Linked DNA regions of Arabidopsis thaliana. The protein of the gene in region 4 purifies or fractionates together with the protein of the main gene of each other region. This does not show direct contact. Each region holds a gene or a part of one and is shown on either strand. Other genes may lie near its edges.

Region 1 (4,382 bases), on a different chromosome or scaffold from region 4:
ACTGCAATTCGATTACGTTTATTAAAATTTCAAATCAGAATGTTGATTATAGGACAGATATAACAAATGCAAGATGGTTCAGCTTACATGGTCATTTCAAGGTTACAGAACCGGATTTCTCCATTTAATTTAAAGACTTATACATTTAATTATTAATATTTAGTAACTTTAATTTTATAGAGACAATATAGAAAATTATGCAATGGAGATGCTTTAAAAGTATTAGGTGCCAGAGTTAAAAAAAAAAAAAAAGTATTAGGTGCCTTGTCGTCACCAGATTCCATTGGATTTTACGACTTTTTGTTAAACTCACAAGTCGCTAGCTTGTGGTTTAAGCAATCTTTTTTTTTTTATATAAAATTTACATATATTAAAAATTTTATGTGGTTTTTTTTTACATAATAGTTAATGATGCATTAAATTTAAGCAATTTTAATGATGCATTGATTTTATTAATTCCCCTTGCTCAAAATACTTTCTATGGTGTGATTAACACAAATTATATTATTATTCTTTTAGAAATTTTTGCTTGTAAATGCTAGTTTTGATTGCATTATTATTCTTTTTTCTTTTACGTCATTTACGAGAATTTTCAATTTTGTTTTATCAAAAATTTCTAATTGAATATTTGATGTTGCACATAAACTGACCGTGATACATGTGCTTGTTCTGTATATAGATTTGTTGAAATAACACTAGAGTATGCTACCAATGTTACGGATCACGGTCTCCAAGCAATTGGTAAAGGATGCAAAGAATTAAAACATCTTGAAATACTAAACTGTCCTGTTAGTAAAACAGGTCTTATAGAAGCAGGCGAGAGCTCTTCTTCCATTAGATATCTTTACGCATCAGGTAATAAAGATGGAAAGGAAGGAGGAGTGCAATCTTTTGCACAAAATAATGATAATATATTTTCTTTTCATTTGTTGTTAAGATTCTCCGAGATCTTCTCGAGATCTTTTTTGGAAATACGATAAGATAGGCTGAATAATTCTTATTCTGAAATTTTTTGGTAATGCGAAACCTTTGTTTTATATGTTCAAGAAGAAAAGAAATATTAAGAATTTTTTTTTTGTTCAGTCACACAACTTTAGAACAAAATTATGTTAATAATTTTCTTCATTTTAAATCCAAAACTTCAAAAGTTAGAAAACATATGAAGTAAAATAAAATAAAATGTGCTAAGCTATAAATTGATTTTAGTTTACATAACAAATTCTAATTGAAACTTATTTTTTTATATCGTCAAAAAACAACAACTAAATTCTGAAAAAATATCAAAAACTCCAATTTGGAAAGTATAAATTACAAACTAACTTGTTTTATTTTATGTTTTAATATAATAGTTTAGTTGGTTTAATAATAGTAAGTGTTATTTTATTATTTTTTAAAAGGGAAGGGTTTAAAAACCCACCAAAAAATCCCTTAAATGGATGCTTAAAAATCTCTGGTCGCGGGCTTAGCCCCAGTAGACTAGTTAGATCACTGTGTGGTCTGGGCATTGAGTTATCAAAGAAAAAAAGGGAAGGGTTTAAAAACCCACCAAAAAAGTTGAGGGTTTTGTACATGTTTTTTGTAAAAGGTGAGGGTTTTTTTTACCCACTTTTCATAGAGCTGAGGAACTTGATAAGATATCAAACAACAAGAGTCTCCAACTCAAGCAGAGACTTCAATCTCTCACAACAACACTGCAGCTGTTTCAGGCCCAAAAGGAGACACGAAGCCCATCTCTCATTCATCGGAACTCTGCAATACTCAAAACAGAGAACCATCACGCGAGCCGCTTCAGCTACCATCGCTCGCCGCCAACTCTTGTTGTTGTTTGATATCACTTTCTCTTCTTCAAGCAGTTGCTACTACTTTCAGAAGAAAGCTGAGAAGAAGCTTAACAGACGGAGAAGATTCGACACTAAGTACGAGGATGCTGCTGATCTGCTCGAGAAAGCACGTGATTCCTATAAGCTTGCCAAATCATGTAATTTCCATAAATAATAATCAGCCGGCCTTGATTTTTGTTTCATCTGATTGATTTGTGATGATGATGAGGAAGAAAAGGTGAAACTTGAGACTTTTGATTGATCTTTGGTTTAGCAATTGTGGTGATCCTTCCATGGTGTTGTGAGAAGTTGATTTTAGGCCTCTTTGATATGTGGGAATTATAAATTGGATACTCAACATTTAGATTACTCGATAATGATGGTTTTTGGCCTTATAGTAAAGTCATTGATAAGTATCTTCTTGCTTATGTGTTTGATTTGTGATTCTTCAGGGGATCAAGCTGGAATAGCTTATCTAAAACTTGCCGATTGTCACTTAAAGGCAAATTCTTTGGCAAACACATATATGATAATGGACGAATGTATGGATCATGTAGCAACAGCTTTTTAGATTTTAATTGACATATATGTACTACAGGACTGATTATCAACTCTTGTGTGTTTTCCTTTCGCTATGCATGTTTATCGCGTCCAAATATAACCATGACCTTATTATATGCAGAGGCTGCATCTTGTCTAGAGAGAGCGGCGAATATATTTTGTGAGATAGATAGTAAGGCTCAACATGGCTGCAAGATATTACAATGTACTACATGTCTCTTTTGAGTATGAATTAGATACTGTTACTCTTTTAGTACGGATAGTGAGAAGATAGTTTTATTGAGGGGGAGGCACTTCTTCAGCATCTTCTCCATGGTTCGTGTTGTTTATGCATGTTGGATCCTGTCGGATTTGTTTCTTTTTTTCTACAGTATATATAGTAAGCTTGGTACTGACTTTCTGTATTTGTACTAATGTGTACATTGTCATTTACTTTTGACAGGAAATTGCTGAGTATTATGAATCTGATGAGATGTTCGAGCAAGCTATTGCTTACTATGAAACGGCAGCTGAATTCTTTCAAATAGAAGAAGTGACCACCTCTGCAAACCAGTGCAATCTAAAGGTTGCACAATATGCTTCCCAGCTAGAGCAGTAAGATTTTCGGCACCTGACCTTTTTTTGGCTTTCTCATCCTCTGGTATTGACGTACTTACAGTACTGAGATGGGACCATGTTAAAATCGAATTTTCAAACCACAAATTTGACATTGTTTGGAATAATGTTGTTGTTCTCTACACATGAGCACATGGATTATAGCCCCTTCTCTACTTTGGGGCGGATTGATTGATTGATAATAGGCTTGCTGTTGTATCTTTGATAGGTATGAGAAGGCAATCCAGATTTATGAAGACACAGGCACGCCATTCACTCAACAATAAGTTGCTTAAGTATGGAGTTAAAGGCCATCTTCTCACTGCTGGCATGTGCCACTTATGCAAAGCTGATGTTGTTTCCATCACTAATGCACTGGAGAAATATCAGGTTCTTCTTCTTCCACAGCAAACAGCCTTAACATCAGCATCCTGGCGTGGTCCTTTGAGTAACTATGACATGTGTTCTAACTTGTACTTTCTTGCAGGATCTGGATCCGACTTTTTCAGGAACACGGGAATGCAAGTTCTTAGCGGTAAAGTTTAAACTCTGGTGTTGTAAGAAATTGGGGAGTAGCTTACATAAAGTATGTTAAGTGTTGTACATTTATTCTCATGAACAGGACCTTGCTTCTGCTATCGATGAAGAAGACATTGCAAAGTTCACAGACGTTTCCAAGGAAATTGATAGCGTGAGTCCACTGGTATGGGCAGTAAACCACATGCAACTATTTGGATGTAAACTCTGTCTGGTTCTTGATCATGACAACAATGTTGTTGAGGGTAAAAGAGAAGTTCAAGGCCAGGGAGCTGGAGGAGGATGCAAGCTTTACTTGATTGAAGGAAAATGTATTCTTGATTGGAACAATGTATATACAAAAAGGATTTATAACTACACTAATTTCTAGAGAAAATCAAACTGCAATTCGATAACGTTTATTGAAATTTCAAATCAGAATGTGGATTATATGCCAGATATAAATGCAAGATGGTTCAGCTTACATGGCCATTGCAATAACCTTATTTCTAGAATACATAAGCTGTTTTCTCCTACGGCCATAAAGAGTCTATAGTTTTGAAGACAGGGCAGTCTTGTGGTCGAGAGCAATCATCACTTTTCCAATTGCCTTCCTGTCTTTGAGGTCCCCGAATGCAAGATTGGCCTGTAATCAAAACGGTAAGTGTTTAATTACATGTTTTGAGTTTTGATGTCATGAAGATGAGTTAATGTTTTCACCTGGGAGAGGCTATAGGTATGAGAGATGTGAATAGTGATCAATCCTCGGGAAAGCCATGACAATAACTCTTTGATGGAATCTTCAAGGACATTGGGCTGATGGATCCTGTAGCTACCCCAGTAAAGACCATGAACCGTCCAGTTCTGCACCAATTGGTTACTACAACTTAT
Region 2 (5,402 bases), on a different chromosome or scaffold from region 4:
AGAGAAGACTTGCTCTTCACGGTACAACAATCTCAAGCGGTTTCACTGAAAACATCCGTGGATGTTTTCTTGCCGGAGAACAACAATGTCAAGAAGACAAACACTTGTGATTTTCATGCTTCAGGAGGATACTCCAATATCTCATTCAAAGTTTTCAAAGCGGATGCTCTCATCGCCGGGGTAGGGGTAAAAGTTAAAAACCCATACTTATTAAGAAATTTGCAATTTTTATACATTGGTGAAGGATTGAAATCCTTATATTGCAGGTAACACATAAGTTTACATGGGGAAGTTTCTGCAAAGGGAAATATAACTTTAAGGTGAGAGTAAATCCAGAGGTTGATTATGCTTTTATCATTGCTTTGCTTGTCATGGTCGATGACAACGAGAATTGGTGTTAGTATATTGTCTGTCCTCAATCTCTTTGTTTAGTGGTTCCTTTCACAATTTATTGGTGTATATGTGTTCATTTCTCAAGATATATGTATGTAAGAATATTTTTTCCATGTAATGTGCAATCTTGCTGGCCCAAATGTTTATTTTTCATAAAAGCGTGCAATCAAAGATATATAGAGCAAGAAAACATGAATCAAAACACTACAAATTGTCGTTAACAGGAAGAAAAAGCACACGTTTATTAGATAGATGTAGACGTAAAAGCAAACAAATAATCGAGACATGATCCTCTCGATGCATCAAATAATCGCTGAACGAAGAAGACTCTCCACAGATGTTTAACCAATATAAAAAAAACTCCAGACTTGAGTAGTTCCCATAAATGAAGTGACGAGACGCAGAGAACAATTGTAGACGTCGATACCAAACAAACCCAATTTGACCAAACCTCTTAAGAAACTTTAAAACTCAAAACCAGACACAATAAAATCAAAGAAGAGTCGGACATGAAGTAACGGACATAGTGACAATACAACCCGGGAATGAATAAAAAGCAACGCTCTGGATAAATATGTCTATGTAAGGTCATCCTCCTCTAGCTCCTTGGCCTTGAGCTTCTCCTTCACCCTCAACAACATGGTTGTCTTCCATGAATCCTGCATTAACACCAATTCCATGATCAAGAACCAGGTAGAGTTAAAGAGAGATTTTATTCAAATAGCTGTATATGGTTTACAGCCCATACCAGTGGAGTCATGCTATCAAACTCCTTGACAACATCTGTGAACTTTGCGATGTCTTCTTCATCGATAGCAGAAGCAAGGTCCTGTTCATATGAATAAATGTACAAAACTTAACATACTTTATGTAAGCTGCTCCACAACTTCTTGAAAAAACGGAAGTTTAAACTTTACCGCTAAGAACTTGCATTCCCGTGTTCCAGTAAAAGTTGGATCCAGATCCTGCAAGAAAGTAGAAGTTAGAAAACATGTCATAGTTGCTCAAAGGACCACACCAGAATGTTTATGTTACGGGTGTTTGTTGTGGAAGAAGAAGAACCTGATACTTCTCCAGAGCGTTAGTGATGGAAACAACATCGGCTTTGCATAAGTGGCACATGCCAGCAGTGAGAAGATGGCCCTTAACTCCATACTTGAGCAAGTTATTGTTGAGTGAATGGCGTGCTATGTCTTCATAAATCTTGATTGCCTTCTCATACCTACCAAAGATACAACAACAAGCCTATTATCAATCAATCGGTCCCAAAGTAGAGAAAAGGCTATAATTGCTGTGCTCATGCATACTGCATAGAGAACATCACAATTCCATACAATGACAAGTTTGTGGATTGACAATTCGATTTTAACAGGGTTCCATCTGAGTACTATAAGCACTTCAATGCTAAGGGATGAGAAAGCAAAAAGAAAGGTAATGTGCCGAAAATCTTACTGCTCCAGCTGGGCGGCATATTGCGCAACCTTTAGATTGCACTGGTTTGCAGAAGTGGTCACTTCTTCATTCTGAAAGAATTCAGCTGCCTTTTCAAAGTAAGCAATAGCCTGCTCGAACTTCTGATCAGATTCATAATACTCAGCAATTTCCTGTCAAAAGTAAAAAACCATTAATGTACAAATTAGTCCAAATACAGCAAGTCAGCACCATGCTTACTTTAGTTTAGAAAAGGAAAAAGACAATCTGAATCCGACTGAACATGCATAAAGAAACAGGAACCATGGAGGAAATACAGAAGAAGTGCCCCAATAAAACTATCTTCTCAGTATCCGTACTAAAAGAATAATATCTAATTCATGCTCAAAAGAGACAAGTGGTACCTTGTAATATCTTGCAGCCATGTTGAGCCTTCCTATCTCACAAAATATATTCACCGCTCGCTCTAGGCAAGACGCAGCCTCTGCATATAATATTAGGACGCATGAAAACACATAAGAATTCATAATCACTCTTGCATTACAGAGATGACAATTACAAAAGTAGCTTTATACATACCATTAGTGTCAACTTTCTTGTAGCATTTAGCAGCCTCAGCATAGGCGTTAGCAGCATCATGTTTGCTATCTGACTGCAGATGCAATCATGCAAATCAATGTTATCAAACAATCCACACATTAGTCCAGTATCATATATATGTGTTGCCAAAGAATTAACCTTTAAGTGACAGTCGGCAAGTTTTAGATAAGCTTTTCCAGCTTGATCCCCTGAACAATCACAAATGCAACACATAAGTAAGAAGATAGCGTTGGAGAATTAAACAAATATCAGAAAAGAACATGAAACCTATTAAACTCAGCCAAATAGAACCCAAATTAGGTACTATAATTGTGCCACTTATCAATGACTTGCTAGAAGGCCAGAAACCAATATCAAGGAATCAGAATGATGAATCTCCGATTTAAAATGTTTTCGTATGAAATTATCAACCATAAATTTCTTACAGATCAAAATAGACCTAATATAAACCCAGATACTAATTCTACTTCTCACATGACCATAGACAAATCACCGCAACTGATAAACCTAAGATCAAACGTTTCAAATTTCACCTTTTTTTTCTTCCTCATCATCACAAAGAACAACAATAAAAAAAAACACGACACCAATCCGATGAAACAATAATCAAAAGCAAAGAAATTTTATTTATGGAAATTACATGATTTGGCGAGCTTATAGGAATTAGCTGCTTTTTCGAGCAGATCAGCAGCATCCTCGTACTTAGATCCGAATATTCCCCATCCATTGAGCTTTTTCTCAGCTTTCTTCTCGAATTCCTCAGCTCTCACCAGATGATCCCCCATTCCTTTTTTTTCCCCGAAACTCTGACTTGAAATTTGATCGTGTACTTCTTTACCTCCACAGACTCCGATTGCTTCTCTTTTCTTCGTCGAGAGAAATTGCTTTCGATTTGGATTATTCGCTGCGATGAAAGAGAGAGAGACGAGAATCGATCGAGAGCGAAAAATCAGAGACACGCTTCGATAGGGGAAAAGATTTTTCAACCGACTAAAGTGGGCCAAATTTGTCTATTTAAAATATGGGCTTTGTTTTGAAAAGCCCAAGTTAGCCCAATCAAAAGTTTTTCCGTACTTTGTTATTGGGTCGCTTTAACCAAGCTTAGAAAATATGGGATCAGGTTTATCAGTTGGGATTGAAGAAAAGCTTACATGAATTATCAAGTAAAACGATTTCCTGTTATATCTGCTCGTCCTTCTACATTCTTCATTAGCCATTATTATAGTTCTCAAATCACGACAAATATTGCTGACAGTTTCCACTAAACAAACCTATGTTCCAAAATGCACAAACTGGTAAAAACCTAGTATGTTTTAATATCAAACACATGAGTAACAACAATATCGGTTTTAATATCAAACACATGAATAACAACAATGGCTAAATAACAACCGTTACAAATCTATGAAATGTTCAATTTTTTAGCAAATCATTTCATGGGTAATCGGTAATTTTTTTGTCTTTTGTGAGTTGCAGAGGTAATCTTCTGTTGTTGGGCTTCTCGACATGTTGAATGGTATTGGGCTTAGTGTCTTGGCCCATAGCATTCTGTTTGGGAGACTCTGAGCTGAGCAGAGAGTTTGACCCAAGCTCTGTTGTTGTTGACTGAAGCTTCTCCTTTACACACAGAGATGATCTAAAATAAACTGTAACTTTGCAACGAGGGATTTCTGCGGCAATATTAATGTTGCTATCAGTCACATTCTATAATGTTAACTGAGTAACTTCAATATGATTCATATGAAATGATTAAATAAAAATAACTTTAGAAGACAGTGTTTAATTATTCTTATATTGTTTCGTTTATCACGTTTTCAATTATTCATTCGACATTCCGCATTCGCTGCCCTCTCGTTTTCTTGATGAAAAGTCTCGAACCGTCTGCTCTAAAGTTAGTTTATTACACGTGAGCCATCTTTGAGGCCGCCAATGATATGATTATATATTGGATTTTATTATATCCACGAAAATTTTAAATTATTTAGGAGTTTTTTTCTTTTTTGGACAACTTATATGAGATGAGAAGCGATGATACACATTTGGCCACTTTTTCGTCTAGATACATTCTTCGTGAAGAAATCCAAGTGCACACATTCATTAGTGTTGGACGGACCCATTTTATTTTGGATTTTTTTGTATAATTCTTTGGGGTTTTTTTGTTAATAATTCACTTCTGTCTATAATATGATTATGATTGTTCATCATATTTTAGCTGTAATTTCCTCTCTTGAACAAAATTATTATTTTCGTGATGTTTTTAAGTACGTGACGAAAGATCATTTGGTGATCTCACTGACATGATTTGCCCAGCCTGTCAGGTTTACCTATGGTCAAATATCATTTTCTCGATTTTGCCCCAAACGGTCAAGGCATATATCCCCAATCTTCAAAGGGTATTTATGTACTTTTCGCTATTAACCGTGTGGCTATATGAAGCCGATTCCTCATAACAACTACAAAAAAGGAAAGCTTCTTCCCGCCGGCAAATTCTTACGTTTCTCCGGCGGTTAGAAAAATGACACCACAGATCAAAACTCATCTCTTGCCGAAGCAAGAACCTTCTTCGTCTGAGAACCATGGATCATCAACCTCCGGCATCGTTTTCAACGTGTCAACGAGTATAATCGGAGCCGGAATAATGTCGATGCCGGCGGCGTTTAAAGTTCTTGGAATAGTTCCAGCGTTTTTGATTATCACGATCATAGCTTGGCTTTCCACAATTTCCGTTGGATTTCTGATGAAATCAACTCTCGCCGGAGAATCAACTACTTACGCCGGAGTTATGAAAGAGTCGTTTGGTAAAACAGGATCCATCGCTGTACAGATTGCTACGATGGTTGCTACTTTTGGTTGTATGATTATATTTTCGATTATTATAGGTAAAGTAATTTGATCTAATCATCTAAGTGTAGAGGTCTCAGCTACTATTTGAGCTTAAGAACAGATTGGCTGAGTTTGGATTTGTATGTGTTTACTCT
Region 3 (6,634 bases), on a different chromosome or scaffold from region 4:
CAAAAATATCTATGATGGTAACTTAACAAGTAAATATTTTTAAATTGTGATGAATTCAACAGGAATTATGGATGCTTCCTCAGATTGTGAATTCAAAGGACCGTGTCATAAGAAAGAAGATTGCTATGACTCATGTGGAGTGAACAAACCACCGTTTAACAATGCTATATGTGTACCTGGCAGAGATTCGTTTCAATGTTGTTGTATTTTATCGTGATTCTATTCAAATTTAGTTTACTATTGACTTATTAAAAAAGTTATATCAAAAAAAGATACATCTGAATTCTATTGATTAACAATTTTTTTTTTCTTTCATAATCTTGTCTTAAAACGAAATAAATATAATGATATTTGTTGTCATACCCATAACAATGAAGAAAACTCAAAGAGAAGAGAGAATCATATAAGAGCCATGTACATTTATTTGGCGAATGTATTTGACGTTGAATATGAAATATGTGTAACACTGAATTTACAATATTTTCTAAATTTCATCATCATCTCTTTCATAATTATCATATTATTGACATCTAAAATTTTCTTCCAACTTATATAGAAGTAAGCCTAGCTAAAATTTGTGTTGTTTGGATCATTGGATGACTATATATTGTTAAAGAATTATCCAAGAGATGAGAGTTTTAGAGGTCACTGTAACACGAGAAAACATGTAAAACGCGATAAAACATTTGTACAATTCTAATATAATGGCCTATTTTGCTCAAATCTGTTTATTATTGTTTTAAGAATTATATAAAGATCATAAAATCTGTGGGTAGAGAAAATATCAAAAGGGAAAAGTAGGAAGTTTCTTATTGCCTAGAAAATGATGAATGAGCTGAAGAGCTTCTCTAGGTTTAAATGTCGGAACCTGGTGTCCCGCTCCTCTTACCGTCACAAACATTAAACCGTCATACTCCACCGTCCACCCTCCGACCTAACGGCAAGTGAAAGAAAAATATATATATATATATATATATCTTTAGAGTCAATCACACACTTACTTGGAAGAAAAGTTAAAGTTTGTAACTTGGAACCAAATTAACCTGTAGTTTGGTGTACCAAGGTGTCCAGTCTTGGACTATCTTAAGACCTAGCTTCTTTAGTGAGTATCTGGTTGCGGTCACGGGGATTCGCCCGTCTGTATCCCCACTATTAAGTTTACCAAACAATTTAAAACGGTTATCGCTCGTTTTCAGTTAATTCTTACATAAAAATGCCAAGGATTAGGTGTTATACCTGAAAACCCATACGCGTAATCCCGCTGAAACAAGTGTTCTTAAGGTTGGAAGCATAGAAGCGGGAGCGTCAGACCAGAATGAGACAGTGTCACTGCACATAGTAAACCATGCATATGGTTTAAGTTCCTATCTATCAATCATTTACCACACACGCTTTTGGTTAAACTATGATAGTAAGAGTATTAATATGTAGGTGCATGTGACAATTCATAAACTGATTCAATTTCCTTTGCCTATATTCGAACAAACCATAACCAAACAACCGGAAAAAAAAAACTGCTTCCTCAATATATACCTTAGAATCCTAAAACGTTAACATATATTGCTAAAAAAGACCAAACCAAACTATATGTGCTTTTTATATTTCATGAAAAACAAAATCTGGAAAACCTAACCGAAAATAAGATTGAACGTCGTAATAATACCTGCAATGAGTCCAAGGGTAAGAGATGTTGGTGACATTAGCGTGAAGTGCCTCCTGAACATCTTTTCTGTTCATATATTTTTCTGTATACTCTGATGCACATGGATCGTACCCGGCGGCCATCCTCCTCCATCCTTCCTGTATATAATCAATTATAACCGGTTAGTCAAATTGGTTACGAAAGAATTTTTTCTAAGTGATTAAAAAGACGAATTACTTACATTGTGAGAGATGAGACGGGGTCGTAGAATGCTTCGGAATGCGGGTAGGGGGCGGTTTCCGGCGACTGAATGAGAAGTAGAGGAGTTCGTGGAGGTGGGGACACACTTTGGAGCGTACAGACTGTACATGTCAAGGATCTTGTATACATCAAAATACTCATCTAAAGCGTCGTTGCATTCCTTGGTCACAAGTTTTTGTTTGAAATCGCAGTTTTTGTTCACTTTCTCGTACAATGCATCTGATATCACCGCGTGATCCCATGCATATTCTATCATCCCCTTTTGATCCGTTTCGTCATCCAATAACGCGTTTCCTATCTGTATATATATACAATTCAAAGTCTTCATCAAAACACTAGATATAGTGCAAGTGAAACTAATAATTATTGGATTGATTTAAGAAAATCTCTGACCATTAAACCCTTGAGATTAATGAAATCTTTCTTGGACGCAATCTTGTTTTCTTTGTAGATGAGCTCCGAAAGTTGTGGGACGTAATGGCCTAATAATTCCACGCAAATCATACATATTCAATGTTTTGTTTTTTGGTTTTGTAATAATCACATGTAGAAACGACGTCGTGTATTTCTAACTTATAATAATAATAATTTACCGGCGTAGCTTTCTCCGGCAATGTAGAAGTCGTGTGACTTGTACTGGGGAAATCTCTTGAACCAGTTGACAAGGAAGTTGTACGAGTCTCTCGCTGTTCATCATACACAAACTTTAATTATTAACTTACAAACAAAACTAATATTTCATTAATAAAACTAATGTTATATATAACAAACCGAACCTGTGACAGTGTCGCCGAGTTGTTTTATATCACGGCTTGTGTTAGTATAGGAGAATCCAACTCCAACCGGCGATTCCAAGAATAACAAATTCGCCGCTATGTAAATCACATTTCAAAAACATTAATTCAGTTACATTATTGATAGAAAGAGAGATAATATTTGAATATTTAGAAAGTTATGTATACCCATACCTTTGTTCCAGCTGTATGGATTTAGCTTGAGTTTAGGCTGACTCGAGTTTTGTGGGAAGAATGGTCCCAGTTCTTCTGCAGCTCCGAATCCGATTGATGAACATCCCGGTCCTATATTCACATTTTTCACCATTGAAATCTCAATATACTATAACTAAATACATTTTACTATGTACATTATTTGGAAGTACCACCAAATTTAAACTTAGGTGATATAGGCCTACTCCTTTAATTTGACTCTACATTATGTTACTTTTTATTCACTATTATTGCATAGGGTCCATTTAATTTAAGGGTTTTGTTGCTTATAATGATAAACTTGCCTTTATCAAGAAACACACGAATAAAAACAAACTTGAGAAAACTTTTAGGGCGTGCATATACGTGCATGGACCATGTGTAATGTTTGGAATCATAATGAATTATGGACCGAAGGACCGTTTAAGTTTCATGGAATTGACTTTTCTTGATATGATGATAATAGATAGATGCATAACTTTTGTGTCAATAATTACTGTGCCTTCATATTAAAGTAAAGGGCGCAATGAGCCCACGGGAGCCTATTAAAGCCTAAATATGTGGAGGTAATAATTTTAATATCCATCACATGCATATGAATTCAATTAATATGTAATAAAATATAAGCATATGGTTAATCTTCCACCAAACTAATTATCTTTAATCTTTCACCAAAATATTTTCCAAGCGTGTTATGCTGAACAAAAAGACTTACAATAATCTATCAAAGATTTTATTGTTTTATGACTATTTTCATCAAAATTTGGATTTTTACGTTGTTTAGCTCTTTATGAATAAAATGACTTAAAAATAAAGTATTTTTCTATTAACAATGTGTAAGAAACCATAAACATCTAAAAGAAAAAACCATCTAAAAGCAAAGCATGATGGAACGTTGAGATATGTGGATTGTAAATTTAAATATATAGCAAATGAGTCTACAAGAGAATAAAAGCTAGCATATATAGGATCATGTAACAACTAACAAGCATGTGGAATCATTACAAGCTTCCAAAATTACTTTAAAGTTTAACCAATCACAACCAAAACTCATCATGATGGTGATGATGATAACTACTAACCACATACGTTTCATTGATTTTGACATGGTGCCAAATGAGATACGTCTTACTATTAGGAAGCTTCACCTAATATTCTCCCCAAGTTACCTTTTTTTGTCTCCATGCATACAAATGACTGATACATACATACCTATTTATTTATGGTTTATTTTAATCCACGTTAAAAATTATTTCAGCTGTATTATATTATTTATATAGTATACGTACGTTAATTTTTTGTTATTTTACGTGTAATGTTGTTAAATGGAATTGTTTTTCTAACCCAACTCATGAAAGTTTCAAAATTCGAATATAAAGATTGCGCAAGGATCAAATATCTATTACGAAATCAATATCAAGTAGATGAAATGCACACAAAGCATGATACACCTTATTTTATTGGTGGGTTTTAATCTTTTAACTATGAGACGTAATAGAAGAAAAATGAGTGGATGTGAGTTAGTTTAACTTACCTCCATTGAGCCAAAGGAGGACAGGTTTTTTGCTTGGATTCTGAGTGGCTTCAAAGAACCAATAGAACAATGCTCTTCCATGTGTTTCATTAACCGTCACATAACCGGCGTATTGCCGGAATTTCACTGGCGGCTGTCCCGGAAGCTCTTTCACTCGATCAGCTCGTTGCGCTGCCAAAACCCTAGACCGGAAACAACCGTTGTCGCCGTCGTTGTCACTGCACAGCTTTTCTGCTGATGTTGAGCCAAGAAGAAAGGACACAAGAAATAGGACAAGAACAGAGAACTCAACACTATGAGAACCCATTTCTTTTTAGTTTATTATAGTTTAATATATCGAATTTGTGGAAATTGTGAAGTGACTGTGTAAGCTTATATAATGTTGTGTGAGAGAGAGAATGGGATTCAGAGACAGATAAGAACACTCTGTAGTCTCACTGGGTGGTAACCATATTCATAAGATAAGACACATGAGAAAAATCAAATTCTGGAAAAGTAAAAAGAATTTTATTTCTTTCTGATTACAAAGAAAGATTCATTTCTTTTTATAGGAAGATTTTTCTCTTTCTTTTTAATTAGTTTGAATAAATTAATAGTTGCAGTTTTATAAATATTTTTTTTTATATGAATTTCTCTTTTTGTTAACACTTGGTGAAATATCTACACACGCAATTTGTGATCTGTCTTTAATATCGTTTTCTATTTGAATTATATGATTATACTTGTCTTTGTAACCATTTCCTTAAGACGAAGACATCAAAAAATATCAAATATGATAGAAAGCAAGAAATTTTATTTCTTTTTATATCAGTAATAATAGTAGCAAATTCTCTTTATAAAAATAGAAAGGTTTGTTAGAAATTGAGTTTCCCTTTTTATGGGCAATTTCTCTTTTTGTTAGACTATACTAGATAAATAGAAAATACGTACAGACAGACGCAACTTGTGCTATGTCTCCAATATCGTTTTTGTATCATGATTGAAATAATTTGATATATAAATCAAAAGGATAATATAAAAAAAATGTTAGAGAATTAGAGATAATGAAGTGATTGGTCAATGAATTGGAATAGAAGGATCCAAATAAAAAGCAGAGCAGAGCAAAGAAAGTGACGGTTCATTTCATAAGATTATTTCTTAAGAGAGATTTGACCAAACACTGTTTTACTTCTCTCTCTCTCAATCTTTCATGTTCCTCCCCCTTGAAATTAGCAACGACCGATCTACATAAATATTTTTATATAATATAATGTGTGAATTGTGATGTATGTGCAAAGTAAATTATACCTGTCATATAACAAAACAGAATGTTACGGCTTTGATTGCGTAATAAAAAGATTCAGTTTCTGTTTATATACGTCATAGAAGTGTATATCTACATCTACATGTACTCTCCTATTATACCTATATACATTAAGAAGTCACGAGGCATTTATGTTACAGTGTGATCAATATGAAATGTTTACAAACAAAAAATTTATAAATTTTTTTGTTTGCATTATTATATGACTAACGTGTTTTAAAAGAAACTAGCTAAGATTCTCTACGAAGATCATAAACATGTAAACATTTACTCTCTTTTTTTTCAATTACTATGTCTTTTTTTTGCGTAGATAATTATTACATGTTTAAGTTATCAAATAGTTCAAGAGTGAGTTTAAACAACATTTGATATACTCACAATGATTATAGATAATAGAGTTATAAGATTATACAATTATAGTTTTCATATAATCGTTTATGTTGAAGTTGTGCATTTTATGTCTACTTTATTGAATTCGCTATTCCTTTTGTGGTAATTATTCGGTAGTCATATTTTCCGATAACTTTTGAACGTCTTCAATTCAATAATTTTGACTACAAAACCAAATCCATCATTAAGTCATTTATCACATTCAACAACACAGATCATCACCATTGTTCCATTCCAACCATCCATTGAGAACTCTATAATTGCATTGGCATTACGTAATTTCCCTATTACAGTTGCAGCACTGGTTTCATCACAGAGTCGTGTGTTGCTCTTCGTCCATAGTATGTAACAACAGAACAACATAAAATATTAGAATAAAATGTCTTCCAAAAATAATCGAAAAACAAAAATAGTGACACAATCAGCGAAACGACGTCCCGCTAATAGTCTAAAGAAAACCGAGGAGCATGTTTTGAAACAGAGCCTTTCAAGTTTCATTAAAACATAAAAGAGAAATT
Region 4 (6,582 bases):
TGCGAATTTTCTATTTCCTAAAGTCGCCACTGATGTGATTATCAGCCGTACATTTAAAGTGGGAAAAGGTACACACAAGTCACAACATTTGTGCCCAACATAAAACGCATTTAAAATTCTTTCGTTTTTCTTTCTTTTGACTTTCGTTTACGTTTTCACACAAAATGTATCACTCTTATAATCTTATATTTTTTTAGTTTTTATCATTACGGATGCAAATAGGTGGCTTTCTAACATTAGTTAAAAAAAAATATTAGCTAGGTGGAGTAGTATTTGACGATTTATCTGTTGTCATTTTGTCAACACTCAACAATATGCTTTTAGCTAATATTCACATTAGTTCCTCCAAATGAACATGGTTACCATCAGTCCACACCACACTTTCTAGCTAAAGATTTCTATTTTTTGTATTTTCACTAAGAAACGCCAACCTCTCAGTTCAACTCAGCTATCTTCTTCAGGATATAGAGAAATTTTCTGTGGTGAAACAATTAAAATTACCACCACTATCAAACTTCACAAATCACTGCATGGTAGTTTGTCGTTCTTGCCAATTTTAGAATTTTTGTATTGGAAGGGAAAAATAACAAGTCAAGTTTTCATGCCAAAATACATTATAAGAATATGAATACAAAAGGTTACAAATTATGAAATTACAAACACACATTCAAAGCAAAATATAGATAATTTCCCCCAATGCTTTGCCAAATGCCCACCACTCTGCGCCTCATAGCTCGTCCTACACGAAATTCAGAATCATAACAAACTTACATTTTTAGAACAGTTAAGATGATTCAGTACTAAACTGCATAAACCATTCTTTTTAAAGTGGTTGAGATAGAAGGAACACTTACATGGTAATCATCCATATAATCACGTGGATTCGGCTGCAAAACAAAACAAAACAAAACAAAACAAACCATTTCCAACAATATTCACTCACTTGGTTTCCAGATAAAACAGAGTTGAGAAGGTTATAATTCATTTGGACTCAAATAAGTACTTACCCGTTTGTAACGCCTCCTCCTGTCTCCATACCGGTGGTCCCTTTCTTTCCGCCTGCGTTCACCTTCTTCCCGTGCTATCCGAGCTTCCTGTAAACGTTGATTTGTATGGCCATGCTCGTTAACTAGGATATACAGAGAAGACTTGAAAAGAGAACAAGAACTTTTTTGTGAACTACAAACCTCATCTTCTCTAGCTTTTCTTTCTTTCTCTGCTTCCGCAAATAACTCCTTCTCAGACTGGTGCATATGGCCAAGTATATAGCATATCAAATTCACTAATAAGACATTTTCGTATATAATAGCATGCAGAAAATCCATTTGCAATTACTACACACTTGCAAGATCAAAAAACTTCTTTGATTTTATCCAAAAAGAAGCAAAAAGATATACAAAGACTTGGAAATCTACCTCCCTGTGTTGGGCAAAATAGTCATCCACGATGCTTCTTGCATATGCCGGGTCATCGCAGATCAATATATTGTCAAAGATTGAGCCAGCCTTCACCTGCAGTGTTAAGATCATTTTTTTTTCATTCAGATGCACTAGATAAGTTTGATCCCTCGTCTAAAATGAAGACTTTTTATCAGATCTTTTCTGTTTCTTTTGGTTTTGTTTTCAACCCTAAAAATTTGGATGACCTATATGTACAAGCAGCATATATATGTTAAAAGAACTAATTGGCAGTGAATATTATATAAATATTCATCCATATCTGGTGATGATGTAGTGATTATAAAAGTTAATATTTGATGGAATTCAAGAAAGCTCTAGAACTTACCTGCCATACTTCAATGCCTGCATATTTGATAGACTTCAGAACGTAAAGATCTGGATCATCTTCAAATTCTGTGCAAAACCGAGAAGCTCAAGCTTAGTATTTATAACAAGAAGAAATCCAGCTCAAAATGAACATACACATTAAATAGGTAGAAACATGCCTGGATTATCTATCCATGGGTTCTTCCATTTTCCCTTGTAGTTCGGGTTCTTGATTCTCTGTAGGAAAATAATGTTTTGAGAAATGTCAAATGGAGAAGAAGAAAAAACAGTAATCTATATAACCATTGATGACTGTCATATAATAACCTTTGCTTTCCAAGGACCTTTGTACGCAGAATTTGGGATCTTTGGAGGTTCCCAGAGACCATTTTCTTCCTCGTCCCAGTCCTCGGGCTAAACAAGTAGAGAGAGAGATACAAGACACAAAGCTTCAGACTATAACACAGTAATGAGTTCCAAAAAAGAATGAGTGCCATAATGTCAGAATTTGCAGTGATATAGAATGAAGAAAGAATGATGGATCTCTGAGACTAAAAAATAACGACCAATCATTTAAAGAATCTAATATAACAGTACATACCTCTTTAGCTTTACGATCTGGAATTTCACGTGGAATAGAATCAAAACCCTGGTTACAAAAGGAAGAACGAGCCAGTTGCCTGAATTAAACTAAGAATTAAGAGAATGGGAACTGAATAGCTTCCTTTCAATACAAATTGTATTTTCTATATTGCTAAGTTTACTAAAAAGTTACCTCGGGTTTGACATCGTTGGGGTCATCGATGTACTCTCTATCATCCCAGTCCTCTGGCTGCAAAATACAGACTGTTAAGAATCTATCAAGGTGAAAGCTAAAAGAAATGTAGTGTTACTGGCTTACTGCATATCTTGCTCTTCTATGAAAATTTAGTATAACCTCAGATCAAAACCATAATCCATTTTCCTCGTCATACATCATAAATTATAATAGCTAAAAGCTAAGTGTAACTATCTCAGAAAAAGGTTATCCAACCTTGCAAATGTTTGGTTCAGAAATTCACATTGCATTTAAGAAAGAGTCTATGAAACCTTATAAGCACCCAGACAGTTACCTTCTTTGCATTCTTGACCTTGATCTTCCTTGGAGGAAGGATGTCCCAGTCTGTGTACATACTGCCAAATTCTCTCTCTTTATTATCCACCAGAACGCTGTAAGAAGCGTCAGGACGCAGAATAAATGTGTAGAAATGATTTAATTTGTCTGTTTCACATTGCAAATCCTTTTTGATTGGATAATTCTGTCCCTGATATGAAACTATAACATGAAGCTTCTTCGTCTGTGTTCCGCATATATCTGGTCCAAACATTAGACTGCATAGAAAAACTAATGAGAATCCCCAAACACAACAACACCATGTGACGACTTTGTTGTAAAAAACATGGACATGTAATCATTTATCAAAGTTCACTGGATTAACTAAATCAACGCAACTTGACTTAGATTGCAATATAACATTCTATCAACTGATGTTCATTGAAAAAGCATTAATGTATGATTACCTGTATGGAGTATCACCACCAAACTGCTTCTGGTTAACATAGCCAGACAGGAGCTTAATGTAAGCACCACCACATTCAATGTCTTGTTCAATCTTGACTGAGTACTGGACAACAAGAGTCCGGTTTTTGTTGCTAAACTCAGGAATCTTTGCAGAAATCGCATAATGCTTGGCATCATTATAAGTCTGAATACCTAAACACATCAAGAAAATCAAAAAAGAAAGAAAAAGATACTAAGTTAAACCAAATAAAGATTCTATATTCCTCAAGTTAACTTTCGAGATCGAAAGCTAGTACACTTGACGATCCATAATTGTATCACAGAACAAAAGAGCTCAAGATCTACACACAAACCTGCTGCTGAAACAAACATATCTAAGAACTAAAATAGAAATCCTAATTATAACCAATTAAAGATTTAATTTTCTTCAAGATAACTTCAAATATCGAAAGGCAGTAGACTTGCGAACTCCATGTCTTAGTCCACATAACAAAAGAGCTGAAGATCTACACACAAGTGGCAGCTAACAAGAACATATCAAAGAACTAAAACACTGCAACATAACAAAGATCACAGGGAGAATGGTGATATAGATTCTCGTATTCTGAAAATCAAGTGAGACCCTTAACGCCAAAAAGACGGAGTTCTGCAGTGTGCTTAAAGGTGGGCGAAAGGAAGTACCTTTATTGTCAGGATCGCCGGGCCATTTACCGGCAGTGTGCTTAAAGGTTCCAGCTTTGCCTTCGTTTCTTTTCCAATCAGACAAGACCCACCTACTTTTCCATCCACCTGAACACAATCTTACTAAGTTAATTCCATAAACCTATAAATAGAAAGCCAAAATCCAGAACCATAGAATCGTTATATTAACCAGAATAGGAAAAGCAAAGCCTATAATAGAAGATTCTAGTGAAGGATGGATTCGGATTCACTATCCTAATCAAATCAAAATCTACCAAGGAAAGTTACTACTTACTAATCATAGCAATATATTCAAAAAGGAAACAAAAATAACAAATCGTTGTTTTGTTTCCCAGAAAAGGAAAAAAAAGAGAGAAGAGTGTTTATATATATACTTCACCTTCGAAATGCTCCTCTAAGAAGATCTCGGAGAAAGCCAATGGGGCAAGAGTTAGTACAGAGACGAGGAAGAAGAAGCAGAAAAAACTGAGCTTATTTTGAGGTAATCCCATTTTTCAGAATTTCTCACTTCATCATGGTTACTGAAAAATTGTGCTTGGGCCTTTATAGCAAAGCAGAATGTTGACTCAGTGTCGTTTGGTTTAGTTACAATATTGCCCCTAAGGTTTGGATTTTTCTTTTTTTCTCTATGTTGTTTTTCTCAAGTCGTCGTCGCAGTGTGGAGTGGACTGAAGAATATTCAAAGTCGTTTATCATCGTAAGAAATGGGGCAAAACTGGTCTCAAATAATAATTGCTATGTTTCTTGCTCTAATCTCTTATATTGCCATTATGATTTATAACAAATCTTGTTCTAACTAAATCTAGCCGAATGTTTTGTACATGATACTTGTAGCCAAATGTTTTTTATACGAATATGAATCATAAATAAATTCAATTATATTTTCTTTATTTTATGAGAGCGAAGAATATATTTTTTTTGTAGTCAAAAAATAAAGGTTCTACAATAATTAAATGTGGGATAACGAAATCCAAAAAGCTCCAATCTAAAACAGTACAACATGTCATTAACAGCATGTTCAGTCCAGGCCCAATAAGCACGAAATTTCTCTTCTCCGAAATTAACTTAATCCTTGAGTTTATTTGGAAAAGACATTTATACCCCTTGTTATCTCAATGGTTAGAGAACACGTGTGTTGCGCGTGAGCATCCTCCATTATTACACCACCGTTGGCCTCCGACGACGGCTCAAGCCTATCTTCGTCGCCGGCTTCTCCGATGGTTACCAATCGCGTAGACGTCTTCTGGCACGAAGGAATGCTCCGACACGACGCCGTAGAAGGCGTCTTCGACACTGGATACGACCCTGGATTCCTCGACGTATTGGAGAAGCACCCGGAGAACGCCGATCGCGTCAGGAACATGCTTTCGATTCTCCGACGCGGTCCCATCGCTCCTCATGTCAATTGGTTTACCGGTCTTCCAGCAATCGTTTCGGAGCTTCTAATGTTTCACACTTCAGGTACATCGCTCTAAGGTTCGCAGAAAAGAAGGAACTTTTATAAAAACCTGTTTCTGAATTTGGTAGTTTTGACAAATCTTAACCTTAAAAAATTCGACTTTGATTTGTGATTATTGCTTTCTCATGTAATCCATTGTGATCCTTGTACAGAGTACATTGAGAAGCTAGTGGAGGCAGATAAATCAGGAGAAAGGTGTGAAATTGCCGCAGGTACTTTCATGAGCCCAGGCTCGTGGGAAGCTGCTCTTCTTGCAGCTGGAACAACTCTTTCAGCAATGCAACATATTCTTGATTGCCATGGGAAAATTGCATATGCTCTGGTACGCCCACCAGGTCACCACTCACAGCCTACTCAGGCTGATGGGTATTGCTTCCTCAACAACGCTGCTCTTGCTGTCAAGCTGGCATTGAATTCGGGTTCTTGTTCCCGAGTTGCGGTTATTGACATCGATGTACATTATGGAAATGGCACAGCTGAAGGGTTTTATACATCTGATAAGGTTCTTACGGTGTCACTCCATATGAACCATGGATCATGGGGATCGTCCCACCCGCAGAAAGGGTCGATTGATGAACTTGGTGAAGACGTGGGATTGGGTTACAATCTGAATGTCCCTTTACCGAATGGCACGGGTGACCGGGGATATGAATATGCCATGAATGAGCTGGTGGTTCCTGCAGTTAGAAGGTTTGGACCCGATATGGTTGTTCTCGTTGTTGGTCAAGACTCTAGCGCTGTAAGTTCTTTCTTTGCCCAAATACGTGTAGACTATCTGACTGAGCACTTACTCAGGGTTTTGTTCGCAATTATTGTTTTGGTTACAAGTAAATCGCTTATGTATGCTGCTCCAATATGGCTCTGCTGTGATAAGTCTGCATAAGTAGTTAGAAGAGTGCAGCTGTTGCATTAGTCATGTCATCTCTCTAATATTCAGTCAGCAAAAGATAAACGAATCAGTATAAATGGAAGATGACCAAAGGAGGAATGGGTTGTCTAGGGATTTGGGTATTGGTTTTGCATTGGAAGAGTCTAGGGTGCTCGAGAATTCACCATAAGATTATATCTTTGGATTCTTTGCTTCAGTTTGCATT

The links.
Region 1: the proteins of CRT3 (region 4) and ALPHA-SNAP1 fractionate together in Arabidopsis thaliana (co-fractionation; one large-scale study listed by BioGRID). This does not show direct contact.
Region 2: the proteins of CRT3 (region 4) and ALPHA-SNAP2 fractionate together in Arabidopsis thaliana (co-fractionation; one large-scale study listed by BioGRID). This does not show direct contact.
Region 3: the proteins of CRT3 (region 4) and SCPL34 fractionate together in Arabidopsis thaliana (co-fractionation; one large-scale study listed by BioGRID). This does not show direct contact.

Annotation. Positions count from the first base shown.
Region 1 is NC_003074.8:20,928,988-20,933,369, forward strand, and holds ALPHA-SNAP1 (alpha-soluble NSF attachment protein 1), read left to right. Parts: upstream 1-1,569; coding exon 1,570-1,978; intron 1,979-2,272; coding exon 2,273-2,373; intron 2,374-2,823; coding exon 2,824-2,975; intron 2,976-2,996; exon of another isoform or gene 2,997-3,214; coding exon 3,215-3,365; intron 3,366-3,462; coding exon 3,463-3,510; intron 3,511-3,597; coding exon 3,598-3,882; downstream 3,883-4,382. Other genes in the region: AT3G56460 (GroES-like zinc-binding alcohol dehydrogenase family protein), read right to left, coding at 4,042-4,137, 4,212-4,355.
Region 2 is NC_003074.8:20,845,148-20,850,549, forward strand, and holds ALPHA-SNAP2 (alpha-soluble NSF attachment protein 2), read right to left. Parts: upstream 3,549-5,402; 5' UTR 3,210-3,548; coding exon 3,065-3,209; intron 2,613-3,064; coding exon 2,563-2,612; intron 2,477-2,562; coding exon 2,404-2,476; intron 2,309-2,403; coding exon 2,229-2,308; intron 1,998-2,228; coding exon 1,846-1,997; intron 1,616-1,845; coding exon 1,456-1,615; intron 1,359-1,455; coding exon 1,311-1,358; intron 1,223-1,310; coding exon 1,142-1,222; intron 1,053-1,141; coding exon 972-1,052; 3' UTR 527-971; downstream 1-526. Other genes in the region: AT3G56180 (LURP-one-like protein (DUF567)), read left to right, coding at 1-180, 267-401; AT3G56200 (Transmembrane amino acid transporter family protein), read left to right, coding at 4,940-5,303.
Region 3 is NC_003076.8:7,808,988-7,815,621, reverse strand, and holds SCPL34 (serine carboxypeptidase-like 34), read right to left. Parts: upstream 4,978-6,634; 5' UTR 4,731-4,977; coding exon 4,424-4,730; intron 4,013-4,423; exon of another isoform or gene 3,998-4,012; coding exon of another isoform or gene 3,979-3,997; intron 3,630-3,978; exon of another isoform or gene 3,005-3,629; coding exon of another isoform or gene 2,983-3,004; coding exon 2,872-2,982; intron 2,776-2,871; coding exon 2,680-2,775; intron 2,590-2,679; coding exon 2,497-2,589; intron 2,386-2,496; coding exon 2,297-2,385; intron 2,202-2,296; coding exon 1,884-2,201; intron 1,801-1,883; coding exon 1,664-1,800; intron 1,330-1,663; coding exon 1,237-1,329; intron 1,150-1,236; coding exon 1,044-1,149; coding exon of another isoform or gene 1,014-1,043; exon of another isoform or gene 935-1,013; coding exon 785-934; 3' UTR 536-784; downstream 1-535. Other genes in the region: AT5G23212 (Defensin-like (DEFL) family protein), read left to right, coding at 63-217; AT5G23200 (C5orf35), read right to left, coding at 6,634-6,634. UniProt on the Arabidopsis thaliana protein: Probable carboxypeptidase.
Region 4 is NC_003070.9:2,667,281-2,673,862, forward strand, and holds CRT3 (calreticulin 3), read right to left. Parts: upstream 4,678-6,582; 5' UTR 4,521-4,677; coding exon 4,409-4,520; intron 4,117-4,408; coding exon 4,009-4,116; intron 3,520-4,008; coding exon 3,327-3,519; intron 3,138-3,326; coding exon 2,879-3,137; intron 2,599-2,878; coding exon 2,542-2,598; intron 2,416-2,541; coding exon 2,368-2,415; intron 2,181-2,367; coding exon 2,094-2,180; intron 2,004-2,093; coding exon 1,946-2,003; intron 1,854-1,945; coding exon 1,786-1,853; intron 1,512-1,785; coding exon 1,416-1,511; intron 1,245-1,415; coding exon 1,188-1,244; intron 1,095-1,187; coding exon 1,008-1,094; intron 888-1,007; coding exon 855-887; intron 740-854; coding exon 728-739; 3' UTR 545-727; downstream 1-544. Other genes in the region: HDA08 (histone deacetylase 8), read left to right, coding at 5,247-5,490, 5,641-6,227. UniProt on the Arabidopsis thaliana protein: Molecular calcium-binding chaperone promoting folding, oligomeric assembly and quality control in the ER via the calreticulin/calnexin cycle.